4 linked regions of the Lonchura striata genome follow. The protein of the gene in region 2 binds, or shares a complex with, the protein of the main gene of each other region. Links are inferred from orthologs where the notes say so. Each region holds a gene or a part of one and is shown on either strand. Other genes may lie near its edges. The genes, in order: TMEM186, NDUFAF1, COA1 and ACAD9.

Evidence for each region.
Region 1: NDUFAF1 (region 2) and TMEM186 share a complex: the UniProt entries of both Homo sapiens proteins name them as parts of the mitochondrial complex. The link is inferred for Lonchura striata from reciprocal best matches to the Homo sapiens genes NDUFAF1 and TMEM186.
Region 3: NDUFAF1 (region 2) and COA1 share a complex: the UniProt entries of both Homo sapiens proteins name them as parts of the mitochondrial complex. The link is inferred for Lonchura striata from reciprocal best matches to the Homo sapiens genes NDUFAF1 and COA1.
Region 4: NDUFAF1 (region 2) and ACAD9 share a complex: the UniProt entries of both Homo sapiens proteins name them as parts of the mitochondrial complex. The link is inferred for Lonchura striata from reciprocal best matches to the Homo sapiens genes NDUFAF1 and ACAD9.

What each region holds. Positions count from the first base shown.
Region 1 is NC_134618.1:6,718,276-6,725,437, forward strand, and holds TMEM186 (transmembrane protein 186), read right to left. Parts: upstream 3,003-7,162; 5' UTR 2,981-3,002; coding exon 2,972-2,980; intron 2,851-2,971; coding exon of another isoform or gene 2,703-2,850; exon of another isoform or gene 2,522-2,702; intron 2,370-2,521; coding exon 1,635-2,369; 3' UTR 64-1,634; downstream 1-63. Other genes in the region: PMM2 (phosphomannomutase 2), read left to right, coding at 2,703-2,850, 3,541-3,594, 4,526-4,602, 5,179-5,270, 5,938-6,037, 6,456-6,531. UniProt on the Homo sapiens protein: As part of the MCIA complex, required for efficient assembly of the mitochondrial complex I.
Region 2 is NC_134608.1:37,470,798-37,477,856, forward strand, and holds the start of NDUFAF1 (complex I intermediate-associated protein 30, mitochondrial), read left to right. Parts: upstream 1-4,039; 5' UTR 4,040-4,238; intron 4,239-5,513; 5' UTR 5,514-5,625; coding exon 5,626-6,129; intron 6,130-7,059. UniProt on the Homo sapiens protein: As part of the MCIA complex, involved in the assembly of the mitochondrial complex I.
Region 3 is NC_134603.1:105,060,040-105,067,764, reverse strand, and holds the start of COA1 (cytochrome c oxidase assembly factor 1 homolog), read left to right. Parts: upstream 1-4,711; 5' UTR 4,712-4,791; intron 4,792-7,725. Other genes in the region: inositol 1,4,5-trisphosphate receptor-interacting protein-like 1, read left to right, coding at 1-961. UniProt on the Homo sapiens protein: Component of the MITRAC (mitochondrial translation regulation assembly intermediate of cytochrome c oxidase complex) complex, that regulates cytochrome c oxidase assembly.
Region 4 is NC_134614.1:2,419,999-2,427,333, reverse strand, and holds the start of ACAD9 (complex I assembly factor ACAD9, mitochondrial), read right to left. Parts: upstream 3,019-7,335; 5' UTR 2,914-3,018; intron 1,463-2,913; 5' UTR 1,369-1,462; intron 39-1,368; 5' UTR 1-38. UniProt on the Homo sapiens protein: As part of the MCIA complex, primarily participates in the assembly of the mitochondrial complex I and therefore plays a role in oxidative phosphorylation.

The sequences.
Region 1 (7,162 bases), on a different chromosome or scaffold from region 2:
TTTTAGTGAATGTCTCTAGCAAGTCTTGTACTTTTACAGAAGCAAAGGTCCAGTAATTTGAAGTCTTACCACATCTTCACTTTTATTATGACTACTCTAGGTGTTTTTATAATTTTTACTGACACTCAGTAACTGTATAATTGTGTACAACATATTGATGAATCGTTAGAGAATACATAGAAAGCACTACAGCTGAAGCATATAAAGTTAATATTGTTTACAGCATACTGTAGACAGTGCCAAATAAATGTTTAAACAAATACTTAAGTACACTTCATGGTGTAACTAGTAACTGTACACAGATTCATAACAAATGACATCAATCATGTGTAATCAATATTCTTAAATAAAATATTTATAATTGATCTTCTCCAGGGCTTTTTCTTTTACACCCACTACTAAACTGAACCATTAGTGCATATATTAAATACATTCTGATGAAGATAAACCTCCAAAAACTGCAGTATACCTGTACAGCCCACTGTATTTTGCTGCCATGGTGTTTACACCGAGGAACATTTGGATTTCTTCTGATACTGCTGTGCTAGACAGTGTCAGCCAAAATTTAAACTCACAGAACCCCACTAGGAAAAGTTAAAGTTAGAAATAGTAATTCAGGGTTACCCTGTGCACTTAAATGGCAATTTTACTTAACTGATCCTTTGCTGATCTGCCAAGAAACAGAGGTTTCACTCCATATGAGGAAAAAATAAGGAAAGAACACTCCAGACTATTGGTGAGAGTCAGTTTATTTGCCAGTTTCAAATTAAGCTAGAAGAGGGGTGTAAGGAGTTATCTTGCTTCTGACAATTCAAAAAAATGTGTTACATGTTATAGGTGATATGTTTGGTTCTTTCTTGGGTTTAAATTCCTCATTTCTACTGAGGTTTTGGAAAAGGAGAAGTCATACCAGTACCATGGAATCACAGTCCTTCATGGAGACAGGTGCTGCTTTTCCCATTCCAATGAAGAATGGCAATTTCTGTAAGAGGCTCCTGAAATATTGTCCCTGCCTTTAACTTACCAGCTGAGCTGCCACTGTCTCTTGTAGCCCACACCCTTGTTTTGCCCAGTTCCACTCCCATCCTGGAGGACCCTCCTGAGGCCAGGACAGCCCACACACCTTCCCAGTTCTCTCAATGGCATTAACACCTGAGCATGTCCCTCTCTGACATTCAGCTGTACCCATCCTATGGATGTACCAGACCAGCTTTAATTTACAAAGGCTTCCCAGCCAACCTGAAATTAGCTAAAAGAAACACTGAGTTTGAAGTGAGGATGCTCTGGCAGCTCCTGCATTTCGTTTCAAGAGATTTTTCATGCTTCATAACCACCAAAGAGGCCAATAGAATGAAACAGCCAGGGTCAGCTCCAGTAATTTGGACAGTCCAGGCTTGGAATGCTGTGACATTACTGAATCCTACATGGAACAGACACTCCTCACACCATATACAAGCTGCAAGACCTTTAATCCAGTGGACTGTGCCTTACCACTGTGACTTTCTACACTGGGTGTACTTACAGCAGGCTTTGCACAGGAAAAGGACAGGGATGTGTAGGTTGGTAAACTACTTAAACCTCATGAAACAATAAGCACAATGAACATGGACAGTCAGTGGAAATGAGGTGCTGTGTCACACAAATTCTCCAAATATTTGAGTAAATTTCTGTCTGTCTACAATCTGGCCATACTTAATTGTAAAATACAAAGTATCTGTACTGTTATACCGTTTGAACTGGTGAAGTAGCTCGTCCTTGCTATCTCCAACTTCATCCAAAGTCACTACTGTCTCTATGGGACAGTAAATATCATTACGTCTTCCCCAAAATGTCAAGTGGGCCACTCTGACAGTTTGTCCACTTTCACTTAAGTAGATGAATCCAATAATTCTTCTGAAAAAGTAGCTCATACCATACAACATTGCCCCAGCAAAGACAGCGATGCCAGTTGTATAGAGGAGGATATTCTGAGACACCTGGCCCTGCAGGTAGAGGTAGCAGATGGGAGGCAGCATGACCATGGAGGTGGCAGTCTGCAGCAGCTTCAGTCTTGACAGGACCCTGCAGTATTTTATCCCTGGGAACCTGTAGACCAGTTTGAACTCTTCTGTCCGCCCATCCACAGCCTTCTGCTGGAGCACTGCAGCAGGGGCTGAGTGGGACAGACACACAGGCGGCTCTCGCGGTCTCCTGAGATAATTACTGACACCATCAACTCGTTGGGTTTGTGACTGCAAACACTCCAACGAACCAAAAATCCAGGGCCGGCGAGCAGCTTCCCTTCTCCACGACCTTGTCCAGAGCTCCTTCTGTAGAGATCTCCCAAAAGCTGCTGCCGTGCAGGCTTTAGTCCTAGTGCAGAGCCAAGCCTGTAAGGTAAGATGCCCACAGGTCATCGTTTGAGTGCTCTTTAAAGCCCAATTGAGAGCTCAGAGCTGGTCACTCGGGCGCCTAAAGCCAGTAAAGCAAACCCCCGGGTCACTGTGACCTTAAACCAGAGCTCTGACAGGAAACTGGTTTTGTGCCCGCATCCCTCCCTGCAGACCGAGGGAAATCCTCGCTAACACAGCTGCTATCAGCGAGCGAGCCTGGCACAGCCCCTGCCTCTCGCCGTCTGAGCAACAGCCCAGGGAAAGCTGCTGAAACCGCCCACTCCCTAAATAACCCCTTAAACCGCAGATTTAGGAGAACAGGAAAGAAAAATGAAGCACGGTGCGGGAGAGCGGGAGCAGACGCTGGGAAGGCGCAGGACTGCAGAGCAAAGGCAGGAGGGGAAGCTCCGCGCTGCCCCCGCCGCGCCGCAGCACGCGGGCGAGGAGCCGTCACCGAGCGGGACGGAGAAGGCGAAAGGCAAGGAGACGGGGAAGGGGGGAAGGGGGGAAGGAGGAGAAGGGGGAAGGAGGAGAAGGGGGAAGGAGGAGAAGGAAGGAGAAGAAGGAGGACCAGCCCGCCCGGCAGCCCGGGCCCTCACCGCCGCCATGGCCCCGCGCGCGGCCCGCCGGGAGGCGCGGCCCCGCCGGGAGGCGCGGCCCCGGCGGGAGGCGCGGCCCCGGCGGGAGGCGCGGCCCCGGCGGGAGGCGCGGCCCCGGCGGGAGGCGCGGCCCCGCCGGGAGGCGCGGCCCCGCCGGGAGGCGCGGCCCCGCCGGGAGGCGCGGCCCCGCCGGGAGGCGCGGCCCCGCCGGGAGGCGCGGCCCCGCCGGGAGGCGCGGCCCCGCCGGGAGGCGCGGCCCCGCCGGGAGGCGCGGCCCCGCGCAGCCATGGCGCCGCCGCCCGCCGCGCTCTGCCTGTTCGACGTGGACGGCACCCTGACACCGCCGCGGCAGGCGAGTGCGGCCCGCGCTGCGAGCCCGGGGGGCGGGCGGCACTCCGCGGCACTCCGCGGCACTCCGCGGCACTCCGCGGCACTCCGCGGCACTCCGCGGGGCCCGGCGTGTCCGCGCTTGGCTCTCGGAACGCCGCGGACACAGCGCGTGTGGGCCGGCGTGGCGGGATGGAGGCGCTGGGCTCCGGCACGGCTGACCGCTCTGTTTTGGACCGCAGAAAATCTCGGCGGAGATGGCGGCGTTCCTGCAGCGGCTGCGGCAGAAGGCGAAGGTGGGAGTGGTGGGCGGCTCGGACCTGGCCAAGATCCGCGAGCAGCTGGGCGAGGACGGTGAGGGCCGCGCTCCGGGCCGCGGTGAAGGGCAGCTGGAGGTTGAAGCTCCTCATCCCCTCTTCCCTCGCTCTTAGCTGGCTCCTGGTGCTGCTGTGGTGCACCCAGGCTGTGGGGAGCTGCGAACCGGCCCTTGGGAATCGCAGCCTGCTTGCACCGCTGTCTGTAGATCAAATTAAGGGATTGTTGCTGATGGTGAAATCCTGCCTCGCTGGCAGCCTTGGGAGGGCATTTTCACACTGTGTGTACAGTGGAGTCCTGTGTGTGACATACACGCGTGGCTGTCCGCTGTCAGCACTTCCCTCAGGACCTGCTTTTGTTCAGTGCGGGGTTCTGATGCAGCGATGCACTCTTGCCTTAGCTTAGTCCTTTATTCTTAATGCTCTTTACTCAATTGATGCCACTGATAACTCCTGTAGTGCCCAGACAGCCGAGTTCGTTTGCCTCCCAAGTGGTCTCCAGTCAACCATATCATCATCATCTTGTGTAGTGCTGAGACTCGCAACTCCCAGACATTTGCTGAAGATTAGTGACACTGAGGAAACAAACCTAAAGGGCAGTATCTGACTTGCTCTCTAGCCAGGCCATGTGCCACGTGTTTGGGCATTCCTTTACACTTAATGTAAAGAGTCATATGCCTCTAAGTAAAACCAAAGGTAAGTCAAACAAATGACTTCACGTGATCTGAGGTGTGTGCTGATCATAGTGAGGAATGGGACTAGCATTAATCTTGTGCTTGATGCTATGCTGCTGAAACTTTTCATGCTTTAGGAGTTAATGTTTGCTGTATTTTAACCAATTTAGCATTTAAGACAATTCTGCATTAAGCATTGAGGGGAAATGATGAGTTACTGTCTTTTTGCTTGTTTGCAGTGATTGAAAAATATGACTATGTGTTCTCAGAAAATGGCCTTGTAGCATACAAAGATGGGAAATTCCTGAGCAAGCAGGTAAGTGTGAAATTTCCAATAGTGAGAAAAAGAAATTTTCTAAACAAGATTTTGATTTATTTGTACAGTGTAGTCCTCTGTAATCACCCTTTCAAAGACTAAAATTGCTGTTGCTTTCATATGTTAGTCCTGTTAATGGATCATTCATTTGGCATGTAATGTTTAACATAAGTAATGGAGAGTAAACATTTAAAAGAGATCCTGGCTAAATTTGCTGCCTTGACCAGTGGTTCCAGTTTACTGCAGGAACAAGCTCCTTTTCTTCATTCTTGGCTGTAACAGACATTAAATGCAGCTTTTTGTTCAGGGCTGCTGCCCGTGGCACAGTTTTCTTCTGAAGCAGGTTCAAGTAGGATCATATTAAAGGACAGTTTGGTGTTATAAAGTGAACAAAAAGCAAAATGAGAGCCTTTAGTTAGTACCATGTGAGCATCAGCTGATGTCACTGTTTGAAGGCATGTTTGTTCTTCTGTGGTATTAACCATGCCTGATTACCCAATGTCTGTGTTTTCCTTGTGACTTGCTTTTAGAATCTCAAATTCTGGACCCTTGTTTGAATGGTGTTTGTTTTGTTAGAGCATTCAGGGCCACCTGGGCGAGGACATCCTTCAAGAAGTCATCAACTACTGCCTGAGTTACATTGCAAAGATTAAGCTGCCAAAAAAGAGGTATGTGCACACAGACATCTCAGCGTGACCCTGTTCTCCATAGGGCATATAAAGCTCAGCTCAGGGTGCTCAGCAAAAGAAAAAAAAGAGGAATTTCTGCTTGGGAAACAGCACTGTGTGTGTGAAACAGAGCTCTGTCCAAGCATACAAAGACAAGCTCCCAGCTGGAGTACAGGGCTTGAAATACTAATTTGGCACTTTTGTGTTAGAGGGAAGGAGATTCAGTTTGAAGTAGGAGTGTTCCCTTGCCATGTTTGGAATTCAGCAGCATAGTGTTTTCCAGAGATGAGAAGTGCAGCCAGACCAGCTCTGTGTGATGTGTGAGGTGCAGCTGCTGCAGACACTGAAATGTGCTGGGTGGAACACTGCCCACATTGCTGTGAATTCTGCAGCTTCACCCACACTGACAGCCTGGCCTGTCAGGCTCTGAGCTTGATGGGATGCTCCAGTCACACTTGTTAAACCAAATGGGACTTCTAAAAGCCAGTAAGGATGATGAGGAGGTTGCCATATTCAAAGTTCAAAAGACTAACTGGTGCCAGAGGTACCAGTAGTGAGACAGGTGATTCTCACTGCCTTTAGAATTAAATGGAAATTTATTGTGCTATGTAGTGTTTGGAGCAAATTTTCTCATCTATTTTCTGTCTTGTTATCAATTCCCTTGCAGAGGCACTTTCATCGAGTTCCGAAATGGGATGTTGAATGTGTCCCCCATTGGAAGAAGCTGCAGCCAGGAAGAACGACTTGAGTTCTATGAACTTGATAAAGTGAGTTACAGCTCTCCTGGAGAAGGCAGTTTTAAAAACTTTTATAATTTGTGCAAGTTTTTTTTGTAATTTAAATCCTTTCCATATGGTGTAACTAATTTCCTCATTCAGACCTCAGGAAATAGACAGTGTGAGGTTTTTTGTTGGAATAGCAGGGATTACTTGCAGAAGGGTGGGTTTGGCTCATGTTTTTAATCCAATATCCAGGCACTGAACATCCTGCTTCATGGGGTTTCTAGAAAACCCTGTCCTAGGTAAAACCATACTTTCTCCTCTATAGTGTAACCAGCCTGGGTCCATTCAAATCAATAAAACCATTCTTTTTTAGAGGTGGTTTTGGGTTATCTTTTCATTGGTAAATCAACACAGTTACAGCATGTAACTGTTGTTTGGTTTTGTTTTCTTTTTTCCTTAACAGAAGGAGCATATAAGAGAGAAATTTGTAGCTGATCTACAAAGAGAATTTGCAGGCAAAGGCCTCACATTTTCAATAGGTAATACTTTAAAAGAATGTCATTTAAAATATCAATCAATTTAAATTTCATTTAAGTCATATTCTCTTATGGCTGTGACATCCCATCTCATTTGTCTGACAGGTCTCTCTGGGGGTGGTTGCAAGACTGAGCCTCTTTTTCCTCTCAGGTTTTTATTGGGACATTTTAATTGAAATCCATCAACAAAGAGCACTTCATGTCTTGTCATCAGTTCATTGTCCTTTAATGTCAGTTGTGTGACTGATTCTGCTCATTTTGGAGGATATTAGATGCATTGGATTAGTCAGAGTGGTTTCTGTGAATCAGTTTTGATCAGAACCACTCCCTCAGTGCTGTTCCAGTTGCCCTTGGTTCTTCAGCTATACCTGCATTGTGTGGGAGAAAAGAAAGAATCCAAAAGCAAGTGCAAGCTTAAGGAAAAAAAAAATACAATAAGGGGGAATTAATTTTTTATGCATTTTGCTTTTTCACCGTCTCTTCTAATATATTACCACACTCCTGCCTTTGATTATTTTTCAGAATTGCAAATAATGGTTGGCATTAGTGCTGAAGCACTAAGGCAAAAGTGAACTGCAGTGCAGCTCTCCTTTATGTTGTAAATACCTTTTGGACACCTGCTCCAGCTGGGAGT
Region 2 (7,059 bases):
ATTTATTTTAAAAATGCCTCAGAAAGAAAATTAAACTGCACACTTATTCTTCACACTTATTGGAAGAACTCTGCTACACTAACAAAAGCTTTATAGTTTATCATTGCCCTACCCTGTGAGTCTGCAAGTTGCCACAATGGATAATGCATACTTACTTTAGAAGAAAAAAATACAAAAACCTACACAAAACATCTCCCTGTCAAATTTTTAAGAATAGATTGAATAAATGACCTGACTATGATTTGCAGAAAGTGTGAGAAAATATTTGGAAGCTTTCCAGAAATTGCTTTTACTCAAATACCTGTATAACATTTATCAGTGCCTGTTTTAATAGGATTTTTTTAGATTTTTCTTTTCTAGATGCACAGGCTTTTAACCAGCTCTAGACTGTAGTACCAGAAACAAATACTAAAACCAGAACCAGCAGATAAGCACTGTTTTATAAGAAATTGAGAAACTTTATAACAAAGTAATGCTGAACTCTTCCTTGCCTCTTTCTTCAAAGATGTTGATCAAAACACACCCTGTTGCATATTCAAATGGCCAGACAGCTAATTCACAGCACAGTTCTTGAAGAATCAAAGTAGCTAAACAGAACAGTTTTGCTACCTGTAAAATAGTACTACCTGCCTTAACTCTTAGGAAGGAACCTTCACTCAAAAGGTGAAAACCTCACTCCCGGAATTCAGAGTCCAGCTTTAGCAGCTTCACTGCTACTTCAACAGCAGTCACAACACAGGAAAAACACTAGTTTAAAGCAGGCAGCTCACCACACCATATGAACCTGAGATTAAACTGGCAGTCACCTTTTCTATAGACAGACTATTTTGTATACAATTAGAATTCAAAACATTTATTTTTAAAAAAAATTCTCTGGCCTTAATGAGTCTCCATCATTTATAGCCAGTCCCACCTTATGAAGTCAGCAGCCTAAATATACTGTATGATAAATACACTTTCACTGCTTAGGTATGATCAAACAACCCATAGCAATCTCACTGAAAACATGATAAAGTCACCTCATCATCACTGTCTGATGTCTCAGAGTCTGAAGATGCTGTAGGTTTGCTCACAGGTGGTTCCTTTTCTTCAGAGTCACTGCGTTTCCGTTTGGCCAATGACAGGAGCTCCTGGTGCAAAAACACACAGATTTATTTCAAAGTGTCGCAATTAGTTTTAACAATCCAGGTCAGTGCACATGCAGGTTCTCCACAATATCTGAGCACATCTCAGTAGCAAGATTATTGCCACCAACTAAGGAACAAGTCTACTTATATTTCATAAATATACATGTGCACACACAATTTTAATACTGGATGCTACAAAAGGATTTAAAAGATAACAAGCTATAAAAAAATAACTATTAGTACCATTACTTTCTTGGCATAAACAACATAAGACAAATTGCTTTCAGAGTCATGTCCAGATTTGTCTTACTTGGATTGGGTAATAATTCAAAATCACCCTAACTACACCATCAAGCACCAGCCCTAAAAAGCCAAATACCAGCAGATAGCAGCTTCTTCTCCTAAACAACAGAGATGGCTGCAATTATACACTTTAAAGGGGAAATGCTTTAGGCATCACTTTTACATCATGGTTGGTAATATTTAGTCAGCCTGTTCAATTCCTCTTCACTGCTGGTACACACCTCAGAAAGCACTTAAAACTTTCAGACACAGAGCAGGGATCAAGCTCCAAGTCTGTGAAACTTTTTGAGAGTTGTTCTGCTCAAAAGCACTTTCACAGGCAACACGCACCCACACAAAGAACTACATGGCTCAAATACTCTCATCATCTGCTGTTCATCACTTGTTCAGGTGACACAAGCAGTAGTATAAAACAAACATTTTTGAAGCTGTGTTACTGTCTTTGCAGTCCAGGACACAGAATCTATTCTTAGAAACATTACTCTGGGGCTGATGAGTATTAGCTGTGTGTAGAAATACAGCCACACCAAGTTCTGCAGTCTTGGGAAGTTGATGCTGGATTGGTTTCCATTAGTTTCACAACTGAAAGATCATCTCAACAAACTGATTAAAATTTACTATCTCAAATGAGAACATAAACACTGCAGAAACTGACTACCTAGTAGGTCCAGATCTAGTATGTCAAAATCCTAGACCTAGTAGGTGTGCCTACTTACCAACAAAGACACTTTTCATTAGTTCATTAGTAATGGCATTTTACCAACAAGCCTCTAAAGAAGCCCTGCAACATCAATATAGCATATTTGTACAATCAAGAGATCTCTGGAAGCTCCTGAAGCTTCAGCAGTGCTTCTCTTTGGGAAGCTCTTGAAGAGGAGCACCACTTTAAAGCCATATTCCATTTTCTTTCTTTCTTTCTATACTTACTTTCTGTTTTCCAAGATACTATATTTAGGAGGCTGCTAGTCCTTCGATTCAACAAGCCTAGACTGCCATGGGAAGCTGTCAAACATATAATCTACTTAACATTTAACATTTAAGTCAGCATTTTCTCATCTCAAAAACTTCCCTCTACCTGATCTTCATCTTTGCACACACACCTCCCTGCTGTCACAGTTTCTACCAACAGCCCAGTGGAGCAGGAAGCACCAACTACTCAGGTACCGCTGCAGATGCCTGCTGCCAGTGAGGGATGGAACAGATGCAGAACCACGTGGTTACTCCTGCCACCATCACTCCAATTGTCTGACTGATGCTAGAGCTAGTCCAACTCCTATTTTCAAGTCCTAAAACTATCAAACTGATGCACTAGCAATGAGATGTTGGCAGCACTAAGGACTCTAAAGGTATGCAAGATCAACCACATCAGCTCCTGTGTATTTGTTTTAATGGAGTATCAGATCTGATATTTCTGAAGCCCCAATCTGCAAAAGTATTTTTGTGCGTTTGGGAAGGCTTTTTTTTGCAATATAGCAACAGCTTCTATATCAAAAACTCTGAGGGTCCAACACATAAATTACATCAGACATGTCGGCTTCAGCATATTCGACCCACCAAACTTCTCCCCGGAGCAAACACTGCCATACAAGCTGTAACACACTTCACCTATAATGTCTTTATTTACCACTGGAATAATACTATCAATATCTGCTACATTAAAAAGTGAATTTTGAAAGCAGCCCGCTCCAAAGAAGGAGACACCCCCTTTGCAACCCTGACACGCTTGAATTCACACCAGACATCGCACTTACAATCCCGGGAGATGCTGTGATGACAAATAAATACTACCCCTGCTTACATCTACAGGCTGGTTTCCCATCAACAGAACTCCCCAGCGCAGTCACCAAGATTGAGAGGGTCGCATTAAACACGCATTTAACACTCCGGGAGCCTGCCTGCCCCGAGGAGAGGCAGGGACCTGACACGCTGTTCTCCCGGCGTACCAAAGTAGCATGGAAAAGTTGCCCAGCCCTTTGGGCCTCTTTCCCCACTACTGGAGGTGAGAAGACCGCCGGCAGCCGGGCCTCGCTAACCCCTCCTCAGGGCCAGACCGCCCGGAGCATCGCCCCGGGGCATCCACGGCCCCGCCGTCCCGCCGGCGCCGAGCACCGGGCCCGCTGCAAGGAGCCCCCGCGGCGCGGGCCTCCTGCCAGGGGCGGGCCGGGACCCGCCGGAGGGGCGCGGGCTCTCCTCCGGGCGCCGCGGGCCCCATCGGGCTGCGGAGGGCGAGAGCGACGCGGGACCACCGGGCGGGAGCGACGGAGGGATGGCGGCGCCGAGCCCCGCGCGGGCGGGCGAGCCCAGGCCCCGCGTTCGGGCCTGCCCGCGCACCTGGTCCAGGTTCTCCTCGCTGCCGCTGTCCTCGGTGTCGGAGTCGATAAGGACGCGGCCTTTCCGCTTCTTCACCATGGCGGAGCCGGCGGTGCCCCCTCCCCGCCCCGGCGGCGGCGGCGGCGGCGGCGCTCGCACGGCCCGGCCCGGCCCGGCCTGACCCGCGCCGCCCGCCCGCCCGCCCGACACAAAGGGCACCGCGCATGCGCGGCGCGCGGGGCGGGGCGAGGCGAGGGCGGAGCCGCGCGCTGTCCCCGCGGCCGCTGCTGCGGCGCCCGCGGATCCGCGCGGGGCACGGCGCGGCCGCGCCGGCACAACCGGAGCGGCGCAACCGGAGCGGCACAACCGGAGCGGCACAACCGGAGCGGCACACCCGGAGCGGCACAACCGGAGCGGCGCAACCGGAGCGGCACAACCGGAGCGGCGCGCAGCTCGTTCCTTGGCCGGCCCGGGCGCGGCGGACCCGGCGGCGGGAAGGTGAGGCGGTGCGGGTGCCGGGGTCTGTCGGTCGCGGAGCAGGAGCGGCGGGGCGGCCGCTGTGCAGGGAGGGGGCTCGGCCGCCGCCCCGGCCTGGCCTCGCCTCCGCCCGCCGGGCCCGTGCGCAGGCCGCGGCGCGAGCGGGGCCGCGCGGGAGCCGAGCGAGCCGCCGGCGCTGCCGGGCCGCCACCGGCGTACACTGCCAAGGCCTTCCGAGGGACAAAGGCCGGGCTAGCGCAGAACGTGTTCGGGTTCTCCGTTCTCTTGTTGTGCTCGGCGAAGCAGTGAGGAGACAGGGCTTCTTAAGTGCGAGCTTGCTTCCGATCGCGTGAAGTGCACGACGGAGAATAAAGTGAATGCTAAGCTACTAAAGTGGGAATTCTAAAAGCTACTTCAGTGTCGCTTTAGGCAAAACTCAATTATTAGAGTGTGAGGTAACAGTAGTAAATTTTACAGTGAGTAAAGGAAGGTGAGTGACACACAGAGGATACAAGTGGGGTGCCTGACTCCATTCTTAAAAGCTCACATAAGTTGAATGCATGTGACATCATTTTTGGTTTTGTTCTGTGGCATGAAAAAAAAACAACAAAAAAACCCCCATCTAATTTTACAAGTAGGAGAAAATAGCCTCTGTACAGAGCATTGAGCAAAGTTTTCCTGAAGTCTTATTAAAAAAGAAAACATATTGAATTGTAGTCTTTCATGTTAAACTTTTTGGTCTTTGCAAATCTCTCTATAATCCTAACACAGGTATATTGAGGATGACTTGGAAGAAGAATGTGGTATGGCTGCTGCAGGACTTACTATTTGAAAAGTCATCTGTTTAAGATGAGGTTGTTGTGTTTGTCTGTGTGGCAGCAGCGTCTGCCTTTTGTGAATTTGTGATTTTCATGCAGGAATAAAACTTTTTAGTTATATAGATGTCATCTTTTAGAAACCTTCACGGGTTGTTTTTGGTGTTATCTGTAACACCTAAACCTACTGGTGGAAAGGATGAGGATAAATTGATTTTCTTTTCTATTTTTAGTTTTATTTAAATTAGTTTACTTGGGTTTTCTTACTTGCATGGGGCTTTCACACCGTGAGGACAGGGGAGAGCGTAGGGTGGAAGTCAGTAAGTAAACTCAAGCTCTGAGGAAGTGTCATTCCTGATGGTTTTTTTCATTCTGTTTTCCAATGACTTGGGTTTCTAGCTAGTATTGATTATAAAAGTTAAATAATTTCACAAGCATCCTGTATGTAATTTTTTATAGCCTTTTCTCTTCTTCATTAAAGGTGAAGATCAACAGTAACTACAATAAGATAGCTCTGAATACTAGTTTTGTTGTTAAATTAACTTTCAATCCATTAATTGCCTTACTGGATGTGAATTCTTTAAGTTACCAGTATGGCTCTGGCTGTGATGCTGCTGAATGGTGCTTCCTTCCACGGTGGATGCTGCAGACCCAAAGTTTTGCTCTCTTCACTTGGACCTCTCCTCAGCAATTCAAAATTGTACAGCAGCTACAGGAGGCCAGGGGCAGAGCCTGAGAAAAAACTGTCTTGGCAGAATGCTGATTTCAGCTTTAAGAAGGCCATTGATCACCTAAAGACTCAGCTAAGCTTGCTGAAGAAGGAAACCCAAGACTACTTAAAAGGACCTGGAGGCCATGCTTTAAGTCAGCACTTGTTGGAACAAACAAGGGTGTTGTGGCAGTTTAGGAGCCAAGAAGATTTAAATAAATGGGTTATTTCCTCTGATGTGGAGATTGGAGGGAAAAGTAAAGTTTACATCAAATTGGGCAGGAATAACCAGGCTGCTCTGCTGTATGGAACCCTCAATACAGAAGTGCCTCGTGATGGGGAGACACAATACAGTGGATATTGCAGTATGAGATCCAGACCGGCAGTGGTGAGTACAGCTCTGTTTGCACAGCTTTTGATGCTGAATCTGAGGGTGTCTGTGGAATCCCAGTGACAGCAAGTGGCCTGCTCTTTACTGCTGATCACTTTCAGGAGTACTGCATTTTCTCTCAGACATGTAATTGCTACTGTGCCCGCTTTGACCTGGAAGGAACTTAAATTTTTTCTTGGATTTTGTTTTCCTTTCTTAGATTAGGAATAATGCATATTTGATCATTTACTTATGTACAATAGACAGTCTTGTTTGCAGCATCCTTACAAATGAGGGATCTGGAATGAATCTTTATATCCAAAATTGGTATGATTAAAATAGACATGTTTCTAAATTTGAAGTTGGTTGAATGTATCATAAGGAAGAATTTTCTGGGCTTTAATTTGGTCTATTCATCAGACTTGGTTAGGGTGAATTAACTCATTTTCTCACAGGAGCAGAAAACAATGCTTTGAAATGTACTTTTTAAAGGTCTGCCTCCTGCTGTACATCAGAAAAAGCAAGACACAAATCTTTGATAGCTCAGAATTGAGCAAATTAGGGCCAGAAATGGGTGTGCTTATTATGGATACTGCTTGTTTCATCCCTTATTTCTAAGCACCTTTAAAAGCATTTTCACACACTGGATAAAATCCTTAAATATTTCATGTGTTGTTTGTATCTTGGAACAAGTACTTAGGTAGAATAATTTCTGGGCCAGAATCTTCGGGAGCAGAGAATATGAGTAAGCAAAATCAATGGGTAAATGAGAGACATGAACACTGATTAAAATGGTGACACTAGATCAGATGTCTGGAACAACAAGTGGAGTCAAGTTAAATTCTCAGGACTGCTATTGACTTGTGCAAATGTGACTCAAACTTTCACTTCCTAATTCTGAAGTAGTGGAATATATTAGTCCATCTTTATTTAAGTAGAAAGGCTCAA
Region 3 (7,725 bases), on a different chromosome or scaffold from region 2:
TTTCCTCGGGCGTGCCTTGAATGGGACTTTCTACCCGGTGCTGCAACAAGCCATTGGTTTTGGCAGTGCCTTTGAAGGTTGGGCCGCCCGTGAGGAGGAAGTTGTGTACCGGGTGTTTGTGCCCCTGACTCCTCCCCAAGGCCACATCTTCCACCTGGAGCGTGACACCGACCAGCAGAAGCCTGGCAGGAATTTCCGTGTCCTTGTGGAGCTGGAGTGCAGCTGCCCCAGGGATTACCAGGGCACGAACATGCTGTGCTTCCAGCACCACCCTGACGTGATTAGGAGGAGGACTCGTCAGCCCAACCTCCTAGACACGCTGTGCACCGGCTCCTACCTCGACGTGGAGAAAACTGTCCAGTGGTTCTGCGCGCTGGTGGAAGAAAACTGGCGGCTTTTGCCCCAGTCACGCAGTTGGCGTTTAGAGCTGCTGCCCTCCAAACGCTCTTGCAAGCTCAGGCTGAGCAACAGCCAAGAAAGCTTCCAGGTTAAGGTGCTGTTTGGGGTGCAGCAACACGCCTCAGACATCTTTATCAGCAGCCAGCATCGAGGGGCCCACACCCCAAGCACAACGTGGCCCGAGACCTACAGCGTGGCAGAGACAAAGTTCTTGAGGCGCATGGCCAGGCCGGCTCCCCAGGACGACTCACACCTTAAATGCCTGCAGCTCCTTGCCCGTGTTCTTGCGCGCAAGGCCCTTTCCATCCCTTCCATCAAGACCAATGTCACGCGCCTGCTGAGCACCGTACCGGCGTCGCAGAGGCACAGGAGACATTTCCTGCTGCAGCTGTCGGATGCTCTGGAGCAGCTGCACTTATCTCTGGAAGGCAAACCCCTGGAGCCTTTTACAGTGGGCAGCCAGAGGCTTCCGGAGGAGTTCCGCTTGCCCCCAGATACACAAAGGGCTAGGCCATCCAACCTGTTCCACGGCCTGCCACAGGATCTGGCTGCCCACCCCTAGGCCTTGATCTGTGCCGTCGCCTGGCAAGAGTGCCGGCCTCTGGCCGCTGCTAGCGGGGCACGTAGAATCACAGCATTAGAGAATCACAGAATCACTAGGTTGGAAGGGACATTTAAGACCATCGAGTCCAACCCATGGCCTAACACTACCTTAGCTATTACCATGACCCTGCGTGCCATATCCAACCTTTTTTTAAACACATCCAGGCATGGTGACTCCACCAGTTCCCCCAGGCAAACGATTCCAGTACTTTACCACTCTTCCAGTAAGAATATTTTTCCTAACGTCCAACCTAAATTTCCCTTGGCACAGCTAAAGACTGTGTCCTCTTGTTCTGTCACTTGCTGCCTGGAGAGAGACACCAACCCCCACCTGACTACAACCACCTTTCCCGTAGTTGGAGGGAGTGACAAGGTTGTCTCTGAGTCTCCATTTCTCCAGGCTAAACAACTCCAGCTCTGTTCCTCACAGCGCTTGTGCTCCCAAGCCTTCACCAGCCTTGCTGGCCTCCTTTGGATGCGTGTGCTCGCGGGGCTTGCAGCTGGTGGCAGAGAACCAGCTTGTAGCTCCATGACAAAGACAGGAATGAATGGGATGCATAGACAGATAGATATCTGTCTATATACCTATAGTGTGTATATATTGATACAAATATTTTTACTAACAGATGTGTTTTAATAGATACATATTATAGCGATAATTCAGAAATGATCATGTTATCTTAAAAAAAGAAATAGCAAGTATAGGATGTCACTATTATGCCACAGTTATTTGTGGCTGTTGTGACACATATTAATCCTCTGTGGTTACTGCATTTATCAGAGGCGAGATTTTGATGATGCAGATATATTTATAAAATATGTATTATACATACTCATATTGTATTTACTACAAAACAGTAATTTAATACAATATCTTTAAAATTATCATATTATTTTATAAAAAGAAATAGCAAGTATATGATGTCACTATTATGTCAGAGTCATTTGTGGCTCTTGTGACACATATTCATACTCTGTAGTTACTGAATTTTTCGGAGGCAAGATTTTGATAGTACAGTTATATGTATACAATATGTATTATACACACACATATTGTATTTACTACAAAACAGTAATTTTATACAATATGTTTAGAATTAAATGTTTATCAAATATGTGGAATGTTATAGAATGAAAAAATCATCATGACGAATATGACAGTGGAATAATATAAATTGAGTATTTAATAGATCTGTTTGGATGCGTAGTAATGCTCCATAGTTAGCGCATGCATGACGAGCAAGCAAGGATCTGCTGTGCTCTTGTTTCAATAAAAGGCAGTTTTGCAGAATCTGGAGCATGCGAGACTTTCTTGCTCTCAGCCACACCTATAGTATTGGTAAAAGTCACCCGATGGGAATCTGGGCTTGTGAACAGTCTCTGCGAACTCAACCAAACTAACAGTGCTGAATTGGTTCTAATCAGCAATTAAGGCCACGTGCCCCTGACCCCCCTCTGATCCCAGAATCACAGCATGGCTCCGCTTGGAAGGGCCCCTAGACATTGTCTTGTTGCAAGCCTGCTGCCAAGGGCAGGGACACCTTGCAGCACCAGGCCACATTGCAGCAAGCCCCATGCAACCTGACCTGGAACACTGCCAGGGACTGGGCAGCCTCAGCTTCCATGGGCAGCGTGGCCCAGGTTGTCACCAGCCTCAGAGGCACACTTTCTTGCACATCTCCAGCCTAACCCTGCCCTCTGTCAGTGGGAAGCCGCTGCCCCTGGTGCTGTCCCTCCAGGCCCTTGTAAGCAGCCCTAGCGCAGGCCTCTGCTGGGTTTTGTGCAGGCTCTGAGAGGCTGCAGGAAGGTGCCCCAGGAGAAGCCCTTGGAGAGCGCTGGGGGCCGGGAGTGCCACCATCAGGGCAGCAAGCAGGGCCTGGCATGGCCGTCGGGGCGGGAGGGCACAGGCTGGGCGCTGAGGCCCTGCCAGCTGGAGCTGGGAGCTCAGCTGTGCGGCCCAGCAGAGAGCCACGGGCTCTCGCGGCTCTGCATCCCTCACGGCTGAGGCAGCGGCCCAGGCGCAGCTGGCCGGGGACAGGCAGCCAGCCCCGGGCCACCCTGAGGGGCAAACTGCTCTGGGGCCAGAGTCTTTGGTGGCTGTGAGAAGCGTGGCCAGCCTGCCTTGGGCCCCTAGGGTGCTGACAAGTGTGCAGAGGAAAGTGCCAGCCCAGCAAGAAGCAACAACCAATAGCCCTCCCTGCATGGCCATAGTAATACTGGTGTCTTATGCTGGCCGTCTCTTATGTCTCTCTTATGTCTCTCCTTCCATGTGGAAATAGCAGAGGGGATCTCTATGAATAATAAGCACCTTTCAGAACCGATAAAGCTTCACCAGTGTTGGACGGGTATTGCACAGCTTTGGTTCTTGCAAAATTACCGGGAAAAAGGGACAGCAGGGGTAGGTAGGCCAACACAGGCACAGCTGAGAACGGAGGACAAGTTTCTGGCCTAAAATCTTTCTTCAGGTCTGACATGTATGAAATAGATTTTTTTTCAGAGAGTAATTAGATATGTAGGAAAAGGTAGGATGAGAGAAAGAATTAAAAAACGCTGTAACTTTGCATAGAAAACAATCTCTTAACAGGGCTTCTTAGGAGTGTAAGAGGCTGGGCCTTTCACTCCTTTTTTTGTTCTCTCTATCTCATTGTCTCTCTTTTGGTCATATCTGCATGTCCTTTTGTTCTGCTGATTGTCTTTCCATACTGTTTCTGCCTACTCTCGCCTTTCACAATTTCTTTAGTATTACAAGTCCTAGCAAGGAGTTATATTAATCAATTCTGCTACAATATAGAACCTTCCCATTTTTCAATTTTTTGAATTAATTAATTGAATCAATTAAACATCTGAATTAATCAATTCATCTCTTGTATAGAAACCTCTCACTTTTTAATTTTTTTGTTAGGAACAACAAAGCAATGCAATAATGTAACCAAATCCTGATTGTAGAAGTTGACTGGAAACTGCTAGAAGCGTGCCGTGGGAAGAAACAGTTTTAATTTACAATCTGAAATAGCAGACTGTATTCCACTAAATCACCGCAGTAATGCAACAGGTGTAAATAAGTAGCTGGAAACTGCTTAGGTTACAGAACAAACTGGCTTTGCAATATCCCCGAACATAATGCCTTACTCACCTCAGGCAGGGAACGCATACAATAAATATCAAAGCAGGTAGGATGCACTAAGGAACAGCAGCAGAACACACTCTGATGTCATTGATGCACTCATCATTTAATTTCAGATGAATCAAAGCCGTGGGCCAAGGCTTAGGTTCATGTAATCCAGCACTGCTAACACACACACACTTGACAAACACCAGAGCCGAAGTGCTGAGCTTTGGGACATTGTTGGACAGCTTGTTTAAATAAACTGCAACAGGGACAACAGCTTACACAGAACAATGTGATAAAGACAGCAGTGGTTAAATTAAATGCTAATATCACTGTGTGAAATGAGATGGCCAGATTACATTCAGAACTTTCTTTAGGGGTTGCTGGACAGACACTGTTGGGTTTTTTCAATTTTGACTGCACAAGAGTGGTTTTATGGTGTTCCTTGTCCTGAAAAAAGAATAAATAAAGGAATAATAAATCACCACAGAAGAGAGTAGATCTGGGCAGCAAGCTCAGGTGTGGTCGGGATCTTTCCGAGTCAGGCGCTGCCCTGCCACCGTCCCCTCCTCTCCGCCATTCGCAGCGCCTCCCGCCATCGCCCCCTGCCGCTCCCCGCCGGCGCCGCAGCCATGGCGGCCCCCACGGCGCCCGCCTGAGCCCGACGCGACCGCGCTGCCGTGAGTGAGGGCGGGCGGCCGAGGCCGGGGCTCGGCCAGGGCGTCCCGGCCGCCGCTCCCGTCCGCACCGCCGCACCCGAGCGAGCCTCGCCGCCCCTCCCGGCGGGCTCGGGCCGGCGCAGAAGGGCCCCGGGGGGCGGAAAGAGGCGCGGGAGGGGGTTGGTACCGGGGGAGTCCCGGCCACGGCAGCTCCGCGGCGGCTGCGGGAGCGGCGGGGCCGGACCGGGGCGCGGAGCGGCGCGGCCGCGGTGGGGGCGGCAGTGCCGTGAGGCGGGCGGGGCTCGCTCACTGCCCCGAGAGCCTCGGCACGCTTCCCCTCGGCCCTGTTAGTGGTGCGTGTACTTAAGATACTTCTCAGCCGCCGTCGGGAGAGGAGTGCGAGGCAAATTTGTCTAGGAAGCTACAAAGAAAACCTGATACGCAGAGAGCAATCAGAGCTGCGGCAGGAAAGATCTCTTGTTGCTTAAACAGGCACAGGCACGCGGTGCCCTGTATTGTGGGGAACTCGCTGACTGGAGCACATCCCGGAGAAATGTGGCGAGGGTAGGGCGATTTCCACATAAAGCAAGTTGTTTGCAGTGACTCATCCACGTAGTGAGGAATCAGATTTACTTTGTTATTCAGGTACAGCTGGTGAAGCAGTTGGGTTGTCTTGAACAGGTCTAATGTTCAAACACTGCAAAGGAAAGAGATTATTATGTTTCTCTATAAAGATTGGAACTTCCCTGTTCAAGTCTGCTCTGATCACTGAAGCAAATATCATTTCCCCTGTCCCTTCTTATCGGGGACGCTGGTTGCTCCCGTTTTCCAGCCTAGTTGGTTTCTTTCTGCTCATTCACATGAACTCTAAGTGCAAGAAGAGAGCATGTAACTCGAAGAGTGGTCTGGGTTGCTTTTAGAGACATTTTTTTATGAATTGAAGTGTTGAAACAAATTTCAAAAATTCCTAGTAGAGATTCAAAGGCTGGAGTAATAGAGGGCTGCGGCAGCAAGGTGGCCCTGTTCCACCGCACAGCTGTACATCGTGCTGTACCTCTTGCATCCGGCTTAGGGATCAGCTGGCTTTTTGAAAGTTGGTTGTTCCAGTGTTATCAATGCTTTCTAGACATGGCTAGCACTGCAGCTGCACAGCCCAGCAGCAGGACGGGATAAGTGGCATGAACACCTCCATTCCAGCAGCAACTCCTCAGACCTGTACTTAAATCCAGTGTTAAACTGCAGCTACTCTTTGTTTTTAGTCTAAGCTTTGACTCAAATTTGAACAGTAAACCGGTGTTTCATATCATGCAGTGGCCCGTGTCAAGGGTTCTCAAACTTGACTGGGGGTGTGGTAGAGAAAGATGACTGCATGTTGAAAGATAACAAAATGCTGCCTTTCTTCCTTGAGATCCTTGTGCTATTCAAGACTTGGCAAAAATTGCTGCCCTTGCTGTCTCAATTATTTAACTGCTGAAATAGCCCAGATCAGCCAAATTCCATTAAACACAAAGTGCAAAGGAAAGTTATCTTAAACAAGCAATGTACCAATTGTAAAGTTGTTGCATTTATTCCCCAAGGAAGAAAGTATTCTTATCAAGAGGGGGATGAAGAGGTTAGCCGAACTTAATGTGTCATTTTTTTATTAGATGAGCTTTAACTTAGACTACTGTAAATTGAATGAAAAAACATGGAGAAGGGAGATAAGGAGCTTTTGGGATTAAAAATAAAAATAAACCCCAAAGCCTTCATTAGTATCTTACAGCTTTTTCTAAGTAGTGCTTCGCTGTTGCATTTCTGAAATTAATGAAGTGTGCATGGATTATTGCTGAATGTATTTTACTTCAAAGCTGGTTATTCCCCAGAAGTCAGAGGCTTTGAGTGTCTGTTAACACAGTATTTTCCAGGCCACTTTTCTAATACAAACTTCTGGGTTTTGACTCAATGCCAGAGGAGCAAAATAACATCCTTACCTTTGCTGCTGTGACCACAATATAAGATCAAGCAGGAAGAAGAGCTGATGCTGGGGGTTGTTTTCACTACACTTAAGACACCTTGAGAGTTGGAGCTCACACAAAGAGATGGGCCCATTCACACCCTCCCTAAGCAGTGTGGCTGTTAGGGCACTTGGCCTTTCTTCTGTATCTTTAGACAGCACTCCTGACTGCATCTTGTCTGTTAAGCAGCCCAGCTCCCCCTGCGTGAGCATTGCTGTTGCACAGCAGCTTTTGCTCCATGTGCCTGTGCTGCCTTACCCAGGCTGCAGCACAGCCCTCAGAGCAGCTCTGAGGATGGTTTGGTAGCAGCCTAGCTTGTGGTTCTGGGAATTAGGAGGAGGCTCTAGGCTTTGGACAACTTTTATGTGTAGATCTCCCTGCTTGTCCAACTAAAACACAAGTCAACAAGTGAAGTGTGTGAACACCTACCTTGAAAATCTTGCATATACAAGCAAGTGGGAGGGTAGAGGGGGAAAGAAAGGCACTGGCTGGATTTTTCTATTTCTCTGTGCTGATGTTAGTGACTAAGTCTACAGTTTTGAGCTGTGATTTTGCGTAACTGAGGAGGATACAGAAAAGGACTATGTTATGTCTCAGATTCTGGGAGGAGCAGTTACATGACCATCAGGCTAGTGTGGGAGCTAACCCTTTGAAAATGCAGTTTTACTTTTTTCTGCTCAGCATATTGTAAGGAATAGAAAGTTCTTGAGAGTATACTTCTGAAAAGCAACCTGATACACAAGAATATTGGAACATGTTAGTAAAATTTCAAGTTATCAGTTCAGCATAGTTCAGGCTGTGAGCCTGTTGCGAGCAATTTGAAAAAGCATCACCAGGTATTTTATTGTTTGTCTTTTAGCATGTTATGAGGGTCCTTCCTGGTATTAGAATGTCATAAGTGACAGAATCCTTTCATCTGCTGTGGTGCAGTGGTGGTTTTTTTAACAACTGCACAGCAGTA
Region 4 (7,335 bases), on a different chromosome or scaffold from region 2:
TGGGATTTTTGCATCTTGATCGATTTTCTTTGAGTCCACTACAAATGCAGAATTTTTTCTCATTTAACACGGTGTTTCTCAGTGCCCAGAGCAGCTGGGAGACTGCATGATTCCCCCAGCAGGGCTAAGGTCACTCATGAGACTTCTCATCCCCAGCTTCACAAGAAGTTCTTCTTTCTAGCTTCAGCATGACCCTCCTGTTTGTCCTCATGACATAATCAGGAGAAAGACTTGGAAGTGGGAAAAATCCAGCATTTATTTCATTTTCTCAAACATTTCTACTATTTCCGCAGGTTAGCAGATTCTAAGACGGGAATAAGCAAAGCATTTCCAAGATTTTCTATCTGAACCAAGTCTAGGTCATGAATACAAGGGGAAAAAAAGGACATAAATGAGGTAATGAGAAAGTTTTGTTCTTAGGAGTTTTTAGATTCTTGGGGGATTAAGAGAGCTGTTCTGTACCATGGCAGTGAAAACAAACAGGAATCATATTTTCTCCAGACTCCATAATTTGACCCTTTTATTCCTCTCCTAAACATCAGGCTGTTTACTCCATAAATCATGTTCCCCCACAGAGCAAAGAATTAAAAAATGTAATTTTAATAAATGTTTTATTTAATGTCAGTGAGCAACATTACAATTTTCCAGTTAAAATCACCTGGATCTCACAAATTGTCATGTGTGACAGTCACTGGCTTCTCCAAACTCCTACACTGTTTGGAAAACCTCTGTCAATGGGAAGTCTGAGACAATGCTGTTTAACTGCCCCAGAAATTGCTGTCTGTGAAAACCAGGATTCTGCAATTGCTCTGGAATTGGTTCATCCATGGCAGCACTAATGGAAGGAACACCCTGCAACGCTCTCTGGAATGCAGATGGGTAGTAAGGCCTTTCCCAAATAGAATTATTACTCTAATGCTGAAAAAACAGAAATGCTTTTCATTTTTTGTAACTCCTCAATTTCTGAGTCTCTCTGCTGCATTTTGTCACAGTCAGTTTTAGCAGAGTAGGACAGTTAAGAAGTTCTAGGAACTAGAATTAGGAAAAAGAAATCACAATATATGAAATGGTTAGAGGCATAATTCAGCTGAGCTAAAACTGATTTCAAATCCTATCTTTATCCCAGAATTCTTTTACATTCTTGGTTTTTTTTCCTGTTTTGGAGATTTAATTCTTCTGATCAGCACCCAAATACTTCCCAAAAAAGCCATAAATGGACATCCTACAAAATCAGCATCACTAAGTGGACAGCAATAAATGCATAAACTAAATTAGATGTTTTAGGTATAATAATCGTATTCAACTGCTACAGCCAAATAATTTTCTAATTATTAAATCACTTGCATGGATAAAACCATAACAATATACCTTCTTCATTGAAGAACTTTTCAACAGGTCCCACAAACTGGTTGATTTCTGCCAGTTCTTCATTGGTAATTTCTGGGTAAGGAAAAACTTCTTCCTAAAATAGGGTAATTATTTAATAATTTTTAATACATGAACTATGCAGTTGAAATAAAAACTACAAGAGACATGCCTTGCAAAGACTCTAAAACACTGTGAAAATTAAGAATTGTGGAAAATGTTCTGAAACAGAAACAGAGCTCCCCAGGACCCAACTTTATTACACATCAAAACCAGACCAGAGTGTGTTACCTGAACAACAGAAACATGAGGGAGAAATCAAGAGATCTTGTAAGAACTACAAGGATGCAAAAATCCCTCATCACCCCTGAGCTTTGTCAGTGTAACCCTATTTATGGATTGATAAAAAATCAGTTTAATTTGTCTCAAAAACAATGAGCTGTGCTAATGTTTCCAAAGCTCAGCCCATGAACACTGTCCCCTGCAAACACCCAGCACATTTCACCTGTTAATGCCTCGAGGACAAAGGTGAGTGAGCCCCACCACTCCTTATCATCCCCAGGGTGTTCTGGCCATGAACTGGGAGCAGCATGGCCTGGCAGGTTTGAATTGGTAAAAAATCCAAGCAAGGAACACAAGGAGTGGAAGGCTATGTGAGAAGCACACTTCTGGTTTTTACTGCCTTTGTCCTTTTAAACAGAATAATTTATCTCTGACCACACAAATCTGTCCAAGGTACTCTGAGCAATAATATCAGCATCAAAAATTCAGGAACTGGGAAATGCCAGAGATTTTCAGAAAGCTGCTGTGTTGAAATTTGAGAAAAAAACGCCCAGACTTATCTGAAGAGTGTTTTAACACAGTGGAGCCTATGTGCTGCCTGTTGTAACACTTTACCTGACAAGCTCTGTTGCAGGAGAATTTATTGTTCAACTCATTTCAGTGCATTTTAGTTATTCCTTCTTTCAGTTTACTTCACCCTGCAATCTCTGGTAAACGCACACTCTAAGCCTTACAATAACAAACTGCTTAATACAGCATTCTGTCTCAGATTTTAACTTCTTTGTCATCTCAAGACACCACACGCATTTCAATCTTTCCTGTCAAAACCGTAGGCAGAGATTTACGTGAGGCCTGGATGCTTGAAGCACACCCAGAGAAGGAAGCGCTCCAGGTTTCGCGGCCCGCCCGGGGCGGTGCCCAGCGACCCGCGGGTGTCCGGGGCACCTGCGGGGCGGGCGGGCGGCACTCGGAGCACACCGCCTGTTGGTGTGCAAAGGGTCCCTGCGGCTCGCCCGGCTCCAGCTGAGGGGCAGGGCACGCACAGAGACGCCTCCTGTCCCCCCCGTGCCAGGGCAGGGAGCTCTGGAGGCAGCGGGCCGGGCTGGCCCCCGGGGCTGCGGGACAGCCGGCCCAGGCCGGGCCTGCCGCGGGCCCACACCGTCCCCGGGCCGGGATGAGCAGCGGGGAGAGGCCCTGGCGGTGCTGCTGCGACGCCCCCGGCCAGCCCGGCCCCACCGCGCCCTCCCCGCTGCCCGCCGGCCCCACCTTGCGCAGGGTGCCCAGGAACAGCTCCTTGGCGAAGGCGCGGCGCGGCGCGGCCGTGCGCAGCCCGCGGGCGGCGGGGCCGGCCCGGGCCCGGGGCCGGGCGGCGCGCAGGGCCCGCAGCAGCCGCAGCGCCGCGCTCATGGCCGCGCTCGCCGCCCCGGAGGCACCGCCCCGCGCCCGGCCCTCAGCGGGCGGTGCTCGGCTCGCGGGGGCGGGGACGGGCACGCCCGCCGGGGCTCGCACCGCCCGGCCCGCGGCGGGCTCGGCGCCACGGCCCCGCAGCGCCCCCGGGCGGCGCCTCCCTCGCCGGCACCGCGGGCGCGGCAGCGGCGCCGCTCGCGGCTCCTCCGCCCGGCCCGGCCCGGCCCGGCCCGGCCCGGCCCGGCAGCCCTGCCGAGCCGCGCGGCCCCAGCGGGAAGCAGCTCTTGGTGCAGCCAGGGTGCCTTTGGATCGCCTTCCTGAAGCGAGAGCAGCGGCGTGGCCAGGCGGGAGCAGCTCCACAGGCAGGGGTCGCTGCGTCCCCGCCTGGAGCTGCGGGACGCGCTGAGCTGCGAACGGAGCGCTTGGACATCGCCCCAAAATCTCCTAAATCCCAGCCCAAGTCCTCCTGCTCCGTGTGTCAGGAGCTGGAGCAGGATGGTGTGGGCAGCTCCAGCCGGCCCCTGAGCGGCCCCGCATTCCTGCAGCCCTTTCCACACATTAATGTCAAAGACTTACCTGCTGCCCTGCACCGAGCATCCCCTTTCCTCCTTGCGTTCCCTGCCATCCCTCTGGCAGCAGGTTTTGTCTTTTTAAAAAACCCAGGTGCCAAACCCGTGTTAAATGACTGATGCTCACTGAAATCTGGTTGAGAAGCACTCACTGCTCCCCTTCTGTTCGAGAGATCACGTTTGTCAGGTTTGTGCCACCCCACAGCTGCTGCCTCACCTGCAGGTGGCTGGGACTGCTCACCGGCACACAAGGGCTTTCTGCGTGCTAAGCTTAATTTACTCAAAGGTAGAAAATTTATTTGAACTATTTATTTCACAAGAAATAAGCCATTTAAAGGTTGCTGCTGCATTTTCATTTTAGGCATCTCCATGTCCACCTGCCTTCAGTCTGTTTTGGTCTGTGTGGAACTGCAGAATGTGACAAAATGGCATTTGCAAAAAGAACAAGTAAACACAGTGTGGTAGATAGGGACAGGCGAATGGAAGATTTCGGGATGTGACGGAAAGAGAGACCCTTCCCCCTCATCCTGTGATATGTAATCCATTACCCCCAAGACACGTAACCCCACCTAACGCAGTAGTTTTCCACTCCTTACTAATCCTAGAGACCCTACCTTCTTCCCTTGATGTAGCAAAGTCCCCCTTGACTATTTAACCTCACAGGATAAGGTAATAGCGCCATTTGACCATCCACCACGTTGGTGTCTGTGCATGTCTGTGGCCCGAGTGGCCCGGGTGAGGCCAGGCTGCCGTGCTGTCCCCTGAAACGAGGTCACCTTGCCTTTTCATCTGAAGGCAACAACACAGGCTTAATGAACTTACTTATTTTGCTTCTTTACTTATGACTCACAAAACGAAAATCGTTTAATCTTGTAACCCAAATAAATTGCGATGTTGGTTGCCTCTTGACTGTACTGCAAGTAGGGAATAAGAAGGGCTGAGAGTGAGGCATCAGGAAAAATAAGGATGTGCTCAGCTGTGGTTAAGGGACATTATCCTGCTTCTTTTCATTCTGAAGGGTGGAAAAGCAAGAGGTGATGTCTAATCCTACCAGGAAACAATGGGCGGGGAACGCTGAGCCAGGTGCAGCACTTCGCAATCTTTGGGGTGAAGGATGAGGTGCCAGTGCTTCCAGAGGGTATCCACAGGTGGTTGATGGTATGAATAGAAGGGGAAAAGCTTCAGCCTTGTGACACGTGGGGTTAATGGGGCAGAGCCACACGATGTCCCTCTGAGGGGACCTGGGTGGCACCAGTGCTACATCCCAGCTCTGGGCAGGAGAGATAAAAAATTATTTTAAAAAGAGTTTTTTTATCTTCCTGGGGGGGTCAAGAGAGGTGCAAGTCCCACAGCACCTCCCAGACAGCATCAGTGATGAAAGGGCTAAACTGAGGCCACCCTCTCCTGAGACAAGTCAGGCAAATCCTGGTGATGTAGGGGTGATGTGGTAGCTTGAAAGAAAGGATAAACAGAGCATGGTAAAAACTGCTTGAAGAAAATGATCCAAACAGTGAAAACAAGGCCGGGCAGCTGGGAAGCAGAGGGAAAAGATGCCTCATCAGGAAGCTGACAAGAACTGAGGCAGTGGCCACACCCTGTGTGTTCACTCAGCAAGCATGAGGATGGCATTGTGAGCGTATCCTAAATAAATAAACACCTGGCATTTTCCAGTCACAGGGGGTGATATCACACCCACAGCACAAAACTGCAGGTGGACCATCACTGGCACAGAGAATCCTCTGTTCCTGCGCTAGCACCAGTGGTGCCACACCACAGATTTTGTCCCTTCCAGTGCTGTGTGTAACCACAACTGAAATCACACTCCTGGCAGCTGCAGCTCTCTGCAGAACTCCCCCATCCTGACCTGATACATCTTCAAACTGCCTTGCACAGAGCGGCACCATCTACTGAAAAAGATAAAAATCAGTATTTTTGTCTTCTGCTTCAGCAATACGTCTAGCCTTTTGCTTTCCCTACTTTTATTTATGGCTCCTCTCTGCTGTCTCTGCCACTGAGATATTCATCCAGGTGTTCACATCATTTCAGATTCCCTTCCTGGGCCAGCTAATCCCTCAGCTGTTACAGCTCCTCATAACTCACATTTTGTGAACAACCACAACTCCCACAGTGATGTCCATTTCAGCCCATTTCACAAAGAAGTGGAAGAATTCCTTCCTGAGAAGGAATTAATGCAAGAGAGGTAAAGATCAGTAAATGACTACAATAAAATTACGCTTCAGTTTACCTTTTTATTCTTCCATATTTTTCCAGCAGCTGCTTAAAAAACTGTTATTCAATAATAAATTGACCTGGCAACATTTAGCTCTTTTTTTACTGAAAAAATGTCACTAAATTATTTTACAAAAACATTCACCAGGCTTTGCAGCACTTCCAGAAAAATACACAAAATTCCTCCTCTCTTTATGCAATCACTGTTTGCTCCTGTTCAACCTGACAGATGGTATGAAAGTTTTGCACTTGACACTGATAATCGTCTTTCCCACAGGCGTGTGATGATGTGCTCATTGCATCACCTCCTGACTTGGAGTACTTTTTTATAAAGCTGGTTAACAAATGAAATCCCAGGAAAGGTGAGGGCAGGAACTGGTATTTCCACTTTTGCTCCTGGTTACATGCTGTGGAAGTGATGTGATGTGTTTGAAACCCAGGTGTTAACGCAGTCGCTGCATAAATACATCAATAAATTTCTCCAGTCTGTTGTCCATCCACACTGACTGGACTGTGGCCATCTAAGAAACCACCTGAAAAATAAATATACATTCTGTTAGTGAGAGGGATTCCTCACAACGTCATGTGGCACTTACAGGGAAACTGTCCATCAGCTCTGCCATGGTAGATTAAAAGGAAGCACTAAATTGCCTCATGTTTTGAAGTATTTTACATTTTATTTCACATTATAATTTTTTTTAAAAGCCAAGAGTTAATTTTTCAAGCAAGGGAAAATGGGCCAAACCATTTATTGAAATCAAGTTTCTGGCTCAGTGAGGGGAGATAACCTGAGCTCAGTGCAGGAAAGAAGCTGTTCCTGTGGGATTGCATCCAAGGAGCTGCAGAGCAACCTGGAGAGTGCTGCCTTTGTGTCACACACAGGTGACAGCGATGAGTGAGGGGACAAGGCTGTGGCTATAAAAAGACCTTGCAGTAACTGGATAAAGCACATCTTGGCACTATTAATGAATACAGAAGGGAGATGGGTCAAGAACCTCTTTGCCAAAATAAGCTCTATCACACTGTAATGTTGGAGAGAAGGAAGGAGCTCCCATGAGCTCAAGAACATTTCATTAATAATCATGAGTACAATATTAATTAATTATATTATTTATATTATTTATAGTATTAAATACTTATATTATTAATTTAAATAATTATTTAATTATTAGATCTGGGAAGAGAAACAGATGACCCAAAACACCAGTGCTTTTTCATCAGCTTTTTTCCAAAGTGATTTCAAATTCCTGCAGTCAGAGGAATTGCTCAGGACATGTCCCCTGTGGTTCACTACTAATATATAGAGAGGTTTTTTTGGTTTTGTTTTTTTTTTTTTTTCATGAAGCTATGCTGGCAGTCTGCAAATTTGTGAGTGGTCATGTAATATTGCAACAGCACAGAAAGAAGAAGAGTAGAAACAAAGATCCTCCCCCTTTAGGCACAAAATACACGAACAAATGGTTTTGAAAATTTACAAGACTGG